Linked DNA regions of Rhinolophus ferrumequinum. The protein of the gene in region 1 interacts with the protein of each later gene in a biochemical or structural test. Links are inferred from orthologs where the notes say so. Each region holds a gene or a part of one and is shown on either strand. Other genes may lie near its edges.

Region 1 (7,933 bases):
TTCCATCTGGGTTTTGAACAAAAATGTTGCATCCCCAGCTTTCATGATATCGTAGCAATGGCCAATTTTCATTGATGAACCCATTTGAGGCAAGATTTTTAAGCACAGGGCCAAGGAATGTTTTAGAGAGGGAGCCAACTTTGGTGGCTACCATCTGGCTAAGGAAAAAAAGAAAAGAGGCAGACTGCCAAGCGGTCAACATGTGGCCTTTTTGTCAATCATTCAACAAATGTTTCTGAAGCATCTATTACCTCTCAGACACTATTCTAGGTGCTGGATTTAGAAATGAACCAAACAGACAAAAAGCCCTTATGGAGTTTTATATGAGAAATGATCAAAGGGAGGAGAGATGAGTATAATGGTTTAAACGATTATTTGATTTAGAAACTTGGAAACAAAAAAAGGGGAAAGAAATCAATGGCCTCAACAACCTGATTAAATCCAGTATCCAATCCCCATCCTGCTCACTGCCTTAGAGGTCCTACCTGGAATGCTCACAGGTACAGTATGTGCTAAATGGAGAGTACAAATTGGTCCAGGATTCACAACAATGGGAGTAAATCAGGTGACGGGAATGGTCATCATCTGGAAATATAGGCCTGGGATTGCCAGATCTTGACCAGGAACTGAAACCCCCATTTCTATGTGAATCTCTTGATGTTTAAGTTCTGATAGCTAATTCAAAATTTTCAATAGCACCATTAAGTCAAAAGCAACACTTCTTCAGGCCAAAGATCCCAATTTGCACCCTTGGTCTTAGGTGGAAGTCCAGCAAGGGCAGAGTCTTGGGGGACAGGTGGCTCCAACTTGTAATAACTTCAAGGCAAAAAGGAAACTCCTATGTTAGCTAAGTTATCCTTGATCCTTTGGATACCAGAAGGATTTGGATTATGATTTGGGGTGACCTGATAGCTCACTGTCTGATCTTAGTACATATTCATTCATTTGCTCCAATTCATTCATTCATTCACTCATTCATTAATCAAATATTAGTAAATGGCTTCGGTGGCTGAAACACTGCTCTACTCAGCTTAAACACATTCCCATTTGGCCAGCCTTTTCGGGCCTTCCAGTCTGGTGGGACTTAGATGGCATTTACACTGTGAGTACAATACTTACTGTGATAATGCTGACCTTGGATAAGCACAAAATAAGTATATCTGATTAGTCAGAGGATCGGTTGAATGCATTTCTGAGGATAATAATAGAAAGATGTCACTGAGCTACTCTACCTCATCTAGACTATCAGTTTGGTGGCTTTTCTCTTTCAGAAGAAGGTGTTCTGTTTCACACCTGATTTTTCATCTTCTACATGTTGACCCTAGAACCATTTCTTTCAACTAAGAATCACTATCTTTCTGCTGTTGTGAAAACTGTCCTCTAGGTGGTGCCATTTGCAGCTCTCTAAGCCTGCGTCGGCCTGCTTTCCACCCCAGCAAGGCCACTTGACTCCCTGGCCAGACAGCTGTGCCAGCAAGCTCTGCACAGAGCAGCTCTTTCCCAGCTGTTGTAGGGCCGGCAATGCTCCAGGCTGACTTCTAATTGGTCTTACAGGTGACCACCACCGTGTGCCTATCCATACTCTTGGGTTGCTTTGAACGGTGCCTGGGATCTCTGCTCCTTGTTTTGAACTCCTAGCAATCCGTTCTCTACAGTGTAGATTGGTAGTGAGTGCGTCTCATTTTACATTGTTGTTTATTCTTTTATGCATGTGGACTGTCTGGCCAAATAGATTATTAAGACTTTAAGGCACTGCCTGGGACTGGGAGTCTGCAAGTGTTTTTGTTGTTGATGGAGGTTGTGGTATCCTTTTCTTTATTCATCATTTACAAGGTCTATGCTCTCAAGCAGCTTGAGAGAGAGAGAGAGAGAGAGAGAGAGAGAGAGAGAGAGAGAGAGAGAGAGAGAATGAATGAGAATTACAGTGGTGTAGTGCTATGCATGCTGGGAAGCAGCTGTGCCAAGTGCCTGGGAACAGAAGGAGTGCAGGCTTATCCTTCTCCAGGAACTCCTTTTACAAGAGTGCGACCTTTCACTCTAACTCTAGGATCACTCCTAGAGACTATTCTATACCTTTGACTGTTTTTCTTTTCCAGTCCCCCAAGGACAGGGTGATATGATCATGGGGGTAGGGATCCATCTCAGAATACCATAGAAGAGGTGACAGTCTTCCCATTTTCCTCTGGTGTTCAGTGTTCAAGCTCCTAGGATTTTGTGGCTTGCTTTTCAGCTATCTAGTAATTGCCCTAGAATACTTAAAATGGTTGATCATCTTACTCTGTGTTTTGGGGTGATTTGGAATGTGATTTGTATCTACAGTGTATCGAAGCAGTTAATTCCTTTCATCAAAAAATAGGTCAATTCCGTCAAAATGGATCCTGGTAGCTTGATGACATTTTCAAAAATCTCAGAGGATTCTTGGCTAGGAAACCCAGACATTTGAAGCTTCCTGTCATTTAATTTTCTGATGTTTTGAATCTGAAACCCATATATATATATATACATATATATACATACACATATATATGCATATATATATATACACATATATATGGATGCAAACTTATAATTAAGCTTTTCCTCTGAAGCCATTTAAAAGTTCTGCATGTTGAATTTCAGTCTTTAACTTCATTAGTCACTTTATTTTAAATTTCACAGCAGGTCTAGTGGCTTTTTGTGGGCATTCACATAAATGTGAGGTTTGTCCTTTCTGCTCTCTGAGCCAAGGTGAAATCTAATCATTTTCTAGGCCAAATATCCTTTTAAAAGGGAGTCTAAAATATAGATCTTATATCGCGATGACTTCTTTGATCTAAGTTCTGAAAGAGAGAGGTGGGGGCAGTCAAGGGGTGGAGGTAAAGGCAAATGAAAGAAGGTAGTCACACATCTGTCATTCGAGAACCCTTTGTGCATTTGTGACCTGTAGCAATAAGACTGTCATGATCATATTTTACACTCTGGATCAGCAGGTTGCACCAGAGACATCTCAGAGAAAACAAAACGTGAAAAAGGGACTCCCTGTATAGAATTCAATTTACTTTCAAGACCTCAGGTTCCGTTAAGGCAGGACGCAATATGAGTTTCATCTCTTGTAGCTATTAAACTACATAAAACCTGAATGAGCAAGATTTTTTTGTGTGTGTGTAGCCATTTTTCAGTCCTATGTAACAACAAAATATGCAAACATTTTTAAGTAAACTGCCCCAATCGAGAGTGGAAAACAAAATACTGGAATAAAATTTTGCTGAGGCGATGTTGGTTTTCTCATTTTTCTATTTTACTCTTTCCTTTTCTTTCACGTTATTTTGCATTTTCCCAGTAGACATCCATAATTCAATCTCGGCCTAGAAGGGTAAATTCGATTACTTGGCTGTTAAACATCACGTGCCTTTTAAAAAACAGGAGGAGAGCTTGTAAGAAAACAAAAACAACCTCAATGGCGTGAAAACTTGGAAGATATCAGGAAGCTCTTGGTAACTTCGGCAGCTTCATTTTTCTGCTCAGGATTTACATTTCTATGTCCAGTAACTGGGGAGAGTTTCACCTTTTAATTCCCCCCCGACACACACACACCTCCGGGAACCAGTGACAATTACTTCTCTTCCTCCGTCACACTCCACTATCGAGTGTATCTGATTTTCTACTACTGAACTGGGGTCAGAGATGACAGAGATACTCTCTAACCGAATGGCGTTATAGAAATAGGAACGGGAAGGAATACAGAAGCGGCTGCAGAGGGTCGCGCCAGCAGATCTGTGCTGTCCAGGAGCGGGGGGCGCGAGCGCCGCGGCCGCCTGCGGGGAGTTGGGCAGGGTGTCCACGGTGACAGCCGGTGCAGGGGGCTCGCGGGGCCGAATCCTGAGGATTCCCCGAGGGCCGAGGCCGCGCTCCGGGGCTGGTGGGCTGAAAGGGAGACAGAGGCCGCCATATTCCTGCTTCACCACGCCCGGGCAGCCGGCGGGCAGCGGCAGGTTGGCGGCCGCCCTGGCTGAGCTGGGGAGACCCGACCCCGCCCTCCGCCGGGGGCGGCCGTGACCGCGGCGCCCGCGGGCCCCGCAGAGGGCGCGGGAGCGGAAGGCGCCCGCAGAGCTCCCAGGGCCGGCCCAGCCCGGGAGGAGCGCGGGCGAGGCGAGAGCCGCACTGGGCGGCGCGCGCGGCGGCTGCGAGCCCAGGAGAGCCTTCCAGGAGGGGCCGGGCGGCACCGCCTCCCCGCTCCCTCCTCCTGCGCCCGCTCCCTCCTCCTCCTCCTCCTCCTCCTCCTCCTCCTCCTCCTCTTCCTCCCGCCGCCGCCGCCGCCGCCGCCGCCTCCCTCCCGGATCTGTGCTCCAGTTCAGAGAAAGAAGAAAATGTGTGTGTGTGGCGAGGGGGAGGGCGAGCACTGAGCAGCCGCTCCGCGCCTGGCAATCGGGGCCGGGGGTGGGCGCCTGGCGGAGGCGGAGGCGGAGGCGGAGGCGGAGGAGCGCGCGGCAGCCGGCGGGCGGTGGGCGCGGGCAGGGCCGAGGGCGCCCGGAGCCGTGTTAAGCGGCGGCCAAGAGCGGGCGCGCCGGGCGCAGAGAGCCATCGGCGGCCGCTCGCTGCGTACGCCCCGGTGGATGTGCTCTCGCCGCCGGGCGCAGGGCTTAGGGGAGCCTCGGCGGCAGCGGTGGCCGCGCGGGGGGCGAGGCGAGCCGCCCGTGCCCGGGGAAGGAAGCCCGGGCGTCTGAGCAAGGCCGGGAGCGGCGGCCTTTCGTCGCGCGCACCCCGAACCAGCGCCCGCGGCCGCCTCCCGCCCCGCCTCGCTCCTGCGGGCGGCCCAGCCGTCTGCTCCCGCCGCACCCCCGTTCCACCTGGTGGCTCCGGCCCTGGCCGCGGCCACCGCGGCGGTTCCCCGAGCTAGTCCCGGACGCGCGCCCGGGCGGCGGGGGCTCGGCGGCCACCGCTGCCTCGGGGGAGCGAGGGCGGGAGGGTGTGTGTGCGCGCGTGTGAGCAGGGGGTGCCGGCGGGGCTGCAGCGGAGGCACTTTGGAAGAATGACTCTGGAGTCCATCATGGCGTGCTGCCTGAGCGAGGAGGCCAAGGAAGCCCGGAGGATCAACGACGAGATCGAGCGGCAGCTCCGCAGGGACAAGCGGGACGCTCGCCGGGAGCTCAAGCTGCTGCTGCTGGGTGAGTACCGCCCGGGGCCGGCCTTCGCGGGCCCTTTCCCCGGACCTCGGCGCCCCCCGCCAGCCACCCCCGAACCCCCCGGGCAGCCGCCGCCAGCGGCCCCCGCCTCAGGGCGCCCGCGGTTGTTCCCTACCCTCCCCCGGCGCGCCCCCGGCCACCACCCGCACCCTTTCGGGCGCGCGCGTACACACATACACTCGCACACACACGCAGAGGGGTCGGGCTGCCCTGCCCCCGGCCCCTGAAGGCCGTGCATTCGGGGTGCGCGTTTATTTGCCGTGCATCTCCTAAATGGCAAATAACTTGGGTGCGGGGGAAGGCATGGGAAGGTGGAAAGAGGGGTTGAACTTCCAGTGTCGTGGCCGCGGCGCCCCGTGGGTGGTGGAGTGGGGAGCTAGCTGTGTGTGTGGCCCGAGGGTGGCGAACGGAGCCAGGGCAACTAGGGGGTGGCCTGTGTGCATCCATATCAGTGCATTCTGGGGTCAGGAGGGAATGGTGGAACGGTGGTGGGCAGAGTCACAGCTGGCTTCTTCAAGGAGTGATGATGAGAGAGGCGAGTGGTTGGCCCTCCAAAGAAAGGAGGCTTATGTATTAGGGGGGCAGGGAGGCAAGCACAAATGTGTCACACAAGTGCTGTTCCCTAGCCACCAGACCAACGAAAGGACGGACCCCAGAAGAGTTTCTTGACCAGTGGATAGTGACAGGCGTGTTTCTTGTCTGCAAAATTCCTTCCAGATAAAAAGGCAAGGGATAGGGGAGCGTTGTGCTGTGTGGTTGTTGACAGCGACGGGTATCTTTTGTTTAATGAGGCAACCCAGATGTAGGCCTGAATTCACAATAGTTACTACTGAAAACCAGTGCAGCCTCTCAATTACTCTCATGGAGACAAATAGAAACCTTTTGTTTAAAACGGACAGCATTTTAATATGTTTGGAATCTGGACTGGAAGGAAAACGGGAAGTGTACAGCAAGAAATTTCCCTTTAATCTCTAAAAAAAAACCAAAAAAACTCAACGTTCTTCTCTAACACTAAGTTAGCAAGAAAATGCTGGTTCTCAATTAGGAATTCTGTTGATTATTATCTCTGAGAGATTGTTCAGAATCAGCCATCAGGGTTCGCATATACAAGCCAGGGTAACATACTCTGAGCTATTGTGGTAAGAAGAGCAAACAGCTTTGCAGTAACAGGCCTGAAAAATGCCTGCACTCGTGTTCAGGATATTTACGTGTATAATAAATATGTTTCTCAGACATTTCTGGAAGAAAAGAATATTGTATTGTCAATTCGGATTTGAGAAACGTGTTTTCTTATCTTGAGCATTCAGTCTCCTGGTTCAAGGAATCAGTTGCCTTTTGGACTGAACTGCTTATGTACCTGGATCATTTAAAGAAGGAACAAAATATAATGATCACAAATAGTTACAAATGGTTAATTCACATGCTATGCTTTATGTTTTCATTTTGAAGCAGATTAGATAAATGTGCACATGTTTATAAAGAACAGAAGGCAAAGTGCTTGATAAAAGAGGTGGGCTTTCAGAAATGAAGGCAGGGCAGGGTAAACTCTTATGGGAAAATGATCTTTTTATTTTTTTATTTTTATTCTCATTTTGAGCTGCTTTTACTGGCTGAAAATGTAGTTGAATGTTTTCTGAATTATCATGATTGAGAAGACAATAGAGAGGGCAAGAGAAATGTATAGAGTGTTTGGGTGCATGATTAAGGGGGCAAAAGCATGTGTTTTAGACTTAACGGTTTTTCTCTTTTCCCTTCCCTGTTTACAGCCTTTACATGTTTCTGTTTAGCTGTGAATTGGGTGGTGAGGGCTCTCAAGCCAACCCTATGGCTTGAAATGTGACAGCTCTGGGTTCCTAGGAGCTATGAGTTAGAGCCCAGGGGGTTCATCTGTTTGAGGGCCTAGGTTTCAATGTCTAGGAGGAGGACTTTTGGGGAAATACACATACATGGATGCTTAATTGCACACTGTGTATTTAAATAACATACTGTGCTTTAAAAAAATGAACTTGCAAGTAATTGCATGAGAAAAAAAATAAAGTAAAACAATTTTACTGCTTAAGTGTTGGCAGTGGGGAGGATTTTTTTTTTTTCTTATTAGATAGTTGAGTAGGGTTTAATACAAGCCCCACCCCGGCCCCCAAATATGGCCTCTTAGAAGTGGTAGAAAAATATGACTTTCATTTAGCACCTACATTCATTGGTAACATTTAAAAATGATACAACTTGCTGTTAGAAATGTGATGCCTAGACATCATGTAACATTTGCTACTGCTTCATGTTCTAAGTATGTTGCTTTTGTAACAAATCTACTGTAATATCTATGCTATTTATATAGTTAATGATATATGCTAAATGTAGGTTTGTGTGTATGGGCATTTCATGATTTTTTGAGTCCAGGAGATAAATGATGGTCGATGTGAATCAGGGCAGGTATTGGGAAGGGGTTCCTTTGAGTACCTCCTGACGGGCTCCTTAGATGAGTCTTCTGGTGCCTTCATTCATTTAAGTGATACCTGACCAAAGGAGGTTAAGGGATGTACCCTTTCACGGTTTAACGATTCACCAATATTTTTAAATATTTAAATTGAGGAATCACCCTTATTTTTAAATGAAATTCCAGATTAAATTCTTTTCAAAGTAGATAATTAGCTCAAGGCATGATGCCATTTTAATGGATTTATTTGGCAGGGGACCTTTCATTAGTCCACATAATTATTTAATTTTATATTAATAGTATGGAGAAATTAGACATGGAAATAGTGCTAGATGAA
Region 2 (7,470 bases), on another chromosome or scaffold:
CCCTGGATCCCAGCACCAGCAGCGGTAGTGCTAGGAACAGATGGTCATGGCTAGTGTGTCCACTGCTGGGCACATGGCCTAGCCCACCATGCACGTGAGTGTGGGTTCCCGAGAGTCTGTGCTGTGCGGCGTGCACATCCACGAGCTCCCGGAGGGCTGCTGAGAGCCCCTGCCGGCCACTGTGCTCAGATGCAGGCACCTGTGGGTCACGGGACAGTTGACGCCAGTACCCGAGAAATTCCTATGCAGTGACACTAAGACTCTGGAGTCCCAAGCAGGGGCTGGGGGGCTTCTCAGGACCATTCAGGAGGGAGCCCCCCACAGGTCTGAGAAAGAAGCACTCTGGTTGACTGAAGACGCTCCACGGGAAGCTGCACAGTCAACCTCCCTGGCATGTGTGCTTCTCAGGGCAGAGGGCCTGGCTTCCTGCCCGGTTGGACCCGTGAGGCTGGGGGCCCAAACCATGGCACTGAGCCCGTCTCCATTCACCAGTGTGGACTTTGCAAAAGCTGTGGCCACAGCTGCTTGGGAAGCCAGAGCCAATGGGCAGCCCCCACAGCAGGACCCCTGCCCACCTGGTGCAGACGCTTCTCCAGGAAGCTGAGGAGGACACGGATCACATCCATGTTCACGCCCAGGAACTCCAGGGACCCTTCCTGCGGTTCCAGGGTGAGGAGGACATCCAGACACTGGAGGGGCAAGTTCCCCAAGAGGTTCACTGTGTGGCTGGGGACAGACGGGGGCGGGGGGCCTGCTAAATCCAGTCCCCTAGCACAGGCACAACCCTTGGTGTACCCTGCTGGGCTCCACACAACATGAACCTAAGGAGCAGCACCAGGAACCGAGGCTGAAGGGGCACTGACCTCGGGCACTCCTGCCCAGTGGGGTAGGTCCCCAAGAAGGGCAGCACTCTGTGCAGATGCCCCACCTGCCACCCTCTGTCTGGGCTAAAACATCATAGGCAATCTCTGGGAAACCAGGGTCTGCCTATGCACAGGGCACCGAAAACAGCGGTAAGGAACTACGTCGCCCTGTAGATACCATGCCACCCACTGCCACTACCCGAGGTCCAGTGGCACTTTCCTGTCCACACACAACAGCTCTTATCCTAGTACGTATTGCAAGTGCCGGGCTCTCTGGAAACACACTGATGTCTAGTCCCACTCAGATGGAAGATTCTGCAGGGTGGAGCCCGGTCCACTGGCTGGGCTGGGAACCCCATCTACGCTACCTTCTACACTGGTGAGCACACTTCCCTCCCGGGATGACAGGCCCCACACTCACCCATGGAACTCCTCCGTGCGGTCTCCAGCAGCAGCCACCATCACACAGTGCCGCAGGAGGGTCCCCAGGTGCCGGTAAAGGGCAGCATCTTCCTGACAAAGAAAAAGGTTCCTGTGACAGAGAGCCACAGTTGTCCCACCGCTGCCAGCTGGCGTGGTGTCTACCCCAGTCCAAGACCACGTGTAGTGACGTGCATCTTGTTGAGTGTATGCCCCAGCCCCCCAGAAAGAGCAATGCAGCCCCTTGGGAGTGCATCCCACTGTTTCCCAGCCCCCATGCACTCTGGTGGCAGGAGTCACCTGCAGCCTCTCACCACAGCCCTCCTGCCAGGCTCTAGGAGCCCTGGCCTCCGCGTCCCTCAGAAACCCTCCTCGAGGCCTCAGAACTGGTGTCTCCTTGCCTCCTGCCTCCTCCCTGTGTCAGACACCCGTCGGCAAGGCACGCTGACTACCCAGCAGCGTTACGCGAGCACCAGCCACCGCGCAGGTCGACTCACCTGGTCCACCTCCCTCTTAACAGAGTCGAACGTGATGTTGAAAAGCACCTTGAGGATCTCCATGGCCCGCTCTGTCTCCTGGGGAGGAAGAGACCTCGGGGTGCTGTCTTTGGGGGTCACCCCCAGCGTCAGCTCCAGCGCCTCTGTCAGTAGACGCACACCCTGCAGCTCCTGAAACAGCTGCTGGCGAACGTCGGCACGCAGCGCCGTCAACAGGAAGAGGAGGCGCAAGTCAAAGAACTGGACGTCGTGCGGGACGCCGCTCTCCCCGTGCAGCCCCACGCGCTCCGCCAGGCTCACCACCAGGCGGGCCTCTGCTGCCAGCACCTGTGCCTCCGGGCTGCTGAGCACCAGGTTGCACAGGCACTTGAGGGCCTCGAGGACAATGTCCATGTTCAGGGCCTTAGGAGCTAACCCCGCGGAGCCGGAGATGCCAGCATAGCAGGCCAGTGCCTGCAGGCTCTGGCGGCTGGTGAAGGGGTCCAGGCAGCTGCGGTCCCTGGACAGGATGCGGATGCTCTGCAGCCAGGTGACGCGGCGGGAGAGCGGCAAGCCCTGCTCCAGGCCCAAAACCAGCAGCTCCGCCAGCCTCTGTGGGCGGAGGGAAGAGTGGCTGCAGCAGGCGTGTCGGCCAGCGACCGCCCGTCCCTTCTCCTTCACCCCTCGGGCAGCACCCACCTTCCTGTCCTCCTGTTGGGCGTCCTCAAACGTGAAGCTCTGGGAATTCTGCAGAGAGACCCAAAGACTCAGGGAGCACAGGTGCACACGGGCAGGGCCCGGGTTCCCAGGAGGGCCCTGAGGCCGCAGGGACCCCTCTGCAAAGGAGCCCCACCCCTACACACCTGTTCCCGGGGCGCGCACCCCGACTCGCCCCCCAGCAACGCCTCGTAGACTCTGCGCCCCGCCCCTCCGCGCTCCCTCCCACACTCACGCACCCGCTGCCGGCCACGCGCGTGCCCCACCCTGCCCCACCGCCTCCTCGCACGTCCCACGTCCACGGCTCCGCTCACCTCCAGGTTGTACGTGCGCAGAGCCTCCATAATTACGTCCTCCTCTCCCGTCTCCACGGCATCCGCAACCGCACCGGGATCCATGGCGCCCCCGGCACGCGGCGCCGGGAAGGAGGGAGGGGCCACGCTCCGCGGTTCCGGACCGGACTCCAAACGCCTCTCCCTGACTCGATGCGTGGGGGTCGCCGGGACCGGCGTGCGCGGCGCCGCGGGGCGGGGCGGAGCTCGCGCGGGGTACGCCGGGACGGGCGTGCGCGCCGCCGCGGGGCGGGGCCTGGGCTGCGTGCGCCTGGCGGTGGCGGGGCTGGGAGCTGGCAGGCTCTGCCTCCGGGTCAGCACGGGCTTCAAGCTCCGACTCGGTGATGTTTGGAATTCGGGGCCTCGTGACTGCCCCCGCTTCTTGTGCCGGAATTCCCGGCAGGAGAGGACCGCAGCCCCCAAACCCCCACCACGCGCACAACAGCGCTCCTCTGGAGCCGCCCCACGAATGCGATGTCGGGGCAAAGCCGAGGTGAAAAGGACTTTGCAGCCCTGTGACCACTTGGTTTGTTACGTGTTCGAGTGACTGCTGCATGCGAGGCGCTGGGATGCGGGTAAACAGGACCCACACGTCCCTGTCTTCGTGGCGCTGACGTTCCAAAAGTCAAGGGCAGCCAAGAAAAAACGGACAAACGAGACGACTTCAGGCAGTCGTAGTGCTGTGATTTAAAACAGAAAGGCGTGTGGTTGTAACCGAGCGGTTTGCTCCCCCCTGCGCTGCGCGTAGCCAGTTACACTGACACTGGGTTGCCCTGAAGGAAGCCTTTATTGTAGACCGCCATGCATTGGAGAACCAGCAGCTTACGCGGGAAGAACCCGAACTCCCTGTCCGCTTGTTGGCAATTGGTTTTAAAGGGTGAAATGGAGGGTAGGGGGTCTTCAATACGTTATCAGTTCCGGGGTACCATATGATTGGTTGGAGCTGGAGTTACAAAGACATCTTAGTTCTGGTCATCAGTTCTCTGGCGCCAGCTAGCCTGATGTTTACGTGCCTGTTGGAGGTTTTGTAAAAACACTTCCAGGTACGCGTCAGTGTGTTAGCTGTGAATCCACAGGGCGAATTGGTGCCCCAGGAGCCTGATTTATGTCTGAGAAAAAAAAAAAGGGACTTGGGTCTGATTTGTTACAAACAAGAAACAGCGGGGGTCGGGGGGGTTTGCTGAGAAGGGATCGTGTCTGGGCTGCGTGGTGCGCTGCAAAGGGCTCTGCGGTGGCATTTTTTCTGAGACAGGACGCTAAGAAGTGAGCCAGGAAAGGACGTGGGGGAAGGTGATTCAAGGCAGGAGCAGCCACTTGGCAGTTGGAGAATGGCCATGGGGGAGAGAGGAGTGTGGGGAGGTCAGGATGAAGGCAGCGCCTGATCACGTGTCCGGCGCGACTTCCCAGCTGTGTAATCGGGACACACTGCCTGGCCTGTACTCAGTCTCCTCTTTTGAAAAGCACAGGTGATAAAAATTCCCATTCCAATGGTTTGTGAGGACTTATGACAGCAAATGATGTCTTCGGTGGGTGACTCCTGCAGCAAGTCTTTGTTGGGCATCCCGGTTGCGCCAGGCCCTTTGTCAGCAACGCCCGCGTGCAAAAGCGGGAAGCTCCTACCGGCCACACGTCCCCGCCACTTCCACCCCACCCCTGCCTCGCCGCACCGTCTTGTCGGAGCGCTTCACCCCTACGTCTCCTGCGGCGCTCGCTCGTTGCGGGCACCGATCTCCGCCGCGTCCCTCCAGCATTAACTGGGGCCGGGACTTCGCCACGAACCTGCGCCTTAACCGCACCGCGGCGGGCGGGGGCGGCTCCTGTCCGGACCTCGCCGCCCCTCTCTCGCCTGGGTAAGGGCCATTTGGGACCTGACGCAGCCTTCGGCGAGAGTGACGAGTGTATGTCAACACCCTCACCGGCATGGAACACACTGACGCCCCGTCCGCAAGTCAGGCCACTTCTGCTCCCACCGCACGGCCCCCGCGGCCCGGATCTCAGCCGGAAGCCGGCGGGCCCGAGCGGAAGGGGCGGGGCCGGAAGCCCCGTCCCGTGACGGCCACGTCGCCGGAGCCTGTGGCGGAAGCGTTGACGGAGCCCGGGGCCGGAGCCGCGCACGATGGCGGACTGGGCTCGGGGTGAGCGCGGGAGAGTGGAGCCGGTGGCGGCGGCCCGGCCGTCGTCGACGCCGCTGCCAGCAAGAGCCCGGCCGGCTGGGTGGCTTTGGCGGGTTGACCCGCTGGCGGGCGGAGCCAGGCCGGGCCGACCAGGCGTCAGCCGGCCCCGCCCCGCCGCCCCTGAGGGGTCGCCGGACCCGGGGGTGTCCCCGCCCTTCCCCATCGCGCAGCTGCGGGGGCCCGACGGCCACGGCCCCCACCGTCCGCACGGGCCGCAGGCCAGCCCCCGGGAGCGGAGGCTGCGTGCTGGGAGGGCGGAAGCAGGCCTCGTGGTGACTGGGGCCTGGGCTCCGAGGGCCTCGGGGAGCCCCGCCCGATGCTGATGCCGCTTTGCCGAGCTGTTTGGTCCTTAGGAGTCAGTGAACGCGAAGGGGCTGGTGGGACGTAACACCCTTTCCTTAGGGGTCTGCACATCGGTGATTCCCAGGGCTGCTCCCCCATTAGAGGGGTCACGTCGAGGCTTCTGCCCCACGGCAGGTGTACACTCTTAAGTGGGGGGCAGGTGGTTTCCACACGCCTGATGTGCCGGTAATTGCGAATCACCTGGCCCCGCCCTAGTCACTGGCAGGTCTCAGCAGGCACCACGCCCTGTGTGGGTCGCAGCCCTGATCAAATGTCATCCCTGCCCTTGGGGTCTGTTTTGGGCAGCACTGCTCAGTTGTCGGCGCTCTGGTTACTTGTCACCTCACCAGGACCCAGTTCACAGGTGTCCCCTGCAGGGACCTTCCTGCTGCCCCCTGGGTGCCTCTCCTATACCTTTCCTACATCCACACCAGTTTACTGTTTATCTCGTAAAACAGGTCCCATGTACACCATTGGTGACATCCATGGAGGGATGGTACAGGTGGTGTCATAGTACCCCAAAGTGCCAGTTTCACTGAATTGTTTGTGGTTGTACACTTTGGGGGTGCCTGCCTGTCCCGGCCTGGACATGTGCTCAGGCCATGCGCTCACACAACAGGTGGTCACGCACACTGTCACCCAGCCTGTCTCATGTGCGAAGTCCTTGCACCAGCCCCTGGGGTACAACTGGACCTGCTCAACAAACAGGTGGACCCCGTTCCCCCAGACATGACACTTGGCCAGATGGGATCGTAGTGGGAGTCCTGAGGTCACGAAGGGCCAATGCACAGGGTCAAGGGCTCATGGGTGGTTGTCCCCCTCAGCCTCTCTCTTCCTGCAGCTCAGAGCTCTGGCGCTGTGGAGGAGATTCTAGACCGGGAGAACAAGCGGATAGCCGACAGCCTGGCCTCCAAAGTCACCAGGCTCAAATCGGTCAGTAGTGGCCTCTTCTACCTCCACCTGGACCTGCTCAGGTGGGATGAGAGGGAGGGTAGAGTCCTGGAAGGGTTAAATGTGCTTCCCGTCCTTCTGTCCCATCCATGGCAGCGGTCACCTGTGTGAGGGCCAGGTGACATCTGGACCTGACTTCTGGTGGTGGCAGGGTTGTTGGCAGCGTCTGCTGGTCTTGTCGGGGGTCAGGCGCTGTCCCGTATGTCTGCCCTGGCCTGACCCTGCCCCTTCTGTCCTGACCAGCTGGCCCTGGACATTGATAGAGATGCTGAGGACCAGAACCGGTACCTGGATGGCATGGTAAGGGTCTGCGACGTGCATGAATGTCGTGGGCAGCTCTGCCCTGTACTGCCTGCTTAGCCCCCCACCCCATGCACACGGCAGCGCCCGTGTGACCCAGCTGGGATTCCTCCCGCAGGACTCGGATTTCATGAGCGTGACAGGCCTGCTCACGGGCAGCGTGAAGCGCTTTTCCACAATGACGCGGTCTGGGCGAGACAACCGAAAGCTGCTGTGCGGCATGGCCTTGGGCCTGGTCGTGCTGTTCTTCATCCTTTCGTACCTCCTGTCCAGGGCAAGGACGTGAGCCAGTGGGAGCTGGCTTCTGCGGGTGCCCGGGCTACCAAGGTCTTCCCTACCTGGTGTCCTGGGCTCCAGAGGACCTGCCTACAAAATACTCCTTTGAAATGATGACCGTGGCTTAGGCATCTTCTTCCTGTGTGGCCGGGAGCCCACGGCTGCCTCTGACTCAGCTGTGTTGGCTGGTCCCATGTGTGCAAGGGCCCAGGTGCGAGAGGCACTGGCAGAGCCATGCCTGAGCAGAACAGCTGGACGTCCTGGACACGGCTGCTCGGGGCCAGCAGCCCTTTACAGGCCCTTGGCTCTGATGTCTCAAGGCTCCTCTGCCCGGTCATCTTTGTCTGGTAAGGTCACATCTGGTGTCCGAGGTGCCTGGACCTGACACAGGAAGCGGGTGTGGCTATGGGCCTCTACTCAGCGCCATCTCCTCCAAGCAAGAGTCTTCAGCCCAGGGGTGGGAGTTACTCCTGGCTCGGGCTGCCGAGCACGGGCCCACCGCCAGGCCTCTGCCTGAAGCCAGACCTTCGGGGAAGGGCAGGGGTGTGGACGAAGGAGCGGCTGCAGTCGTGGCTGGAGGCACTGGACCTTCATCCTTCTGGATCTCGCGGCTGTGTAT

Evidence for each region.
Region 2: the proteins of guanine nucleotide-binding protein G(q) subunit alpha (region 1) and RIC8A form a complex in vitro, tested with the Homo sapiens proteins (2 studies listed by BioGRID). The link is inferred for Rhinolophus ferrumequinum from reciprocal best matches to the Homo sapiens genes GNAQ and RIC8A.

Annotation. Positions count from the first base shown.
Region 1 is NC_046295.1:42,698,325-42,706,257, reverse strand, and holds the start of guanine nucleotide-binding protein G(q) subunit alpha, read left to right. Parts: upstream 1-4,786; 5' UTR 4,787-5,008; coding exon 5,009-5,144; intron 5,145-7,933.
Region 2 is NC_046294.1:33,723-41,192, reverse strand, and holds the start of RIC8A (synembryn-A), read right to left. Parts: upstream 3,025-7,470; 5' UTR 2,875-3,024; coding exon 2,791-2,874; intron 2,507-2,790; coding exon 2,459-2,506; intron 2,372-2,458; coding exon 1,781-2,371; intron 1,377-1,780; coding exon 1,285-1,376; intron 727-1,284; coding exon 576-726; intron 1-575. Other genes in the region: BET1L (BET1-like protein), read left to right, coding at 4,729-4,943, 6,149-6,257, 6,519-6,575, 6,694-6,861.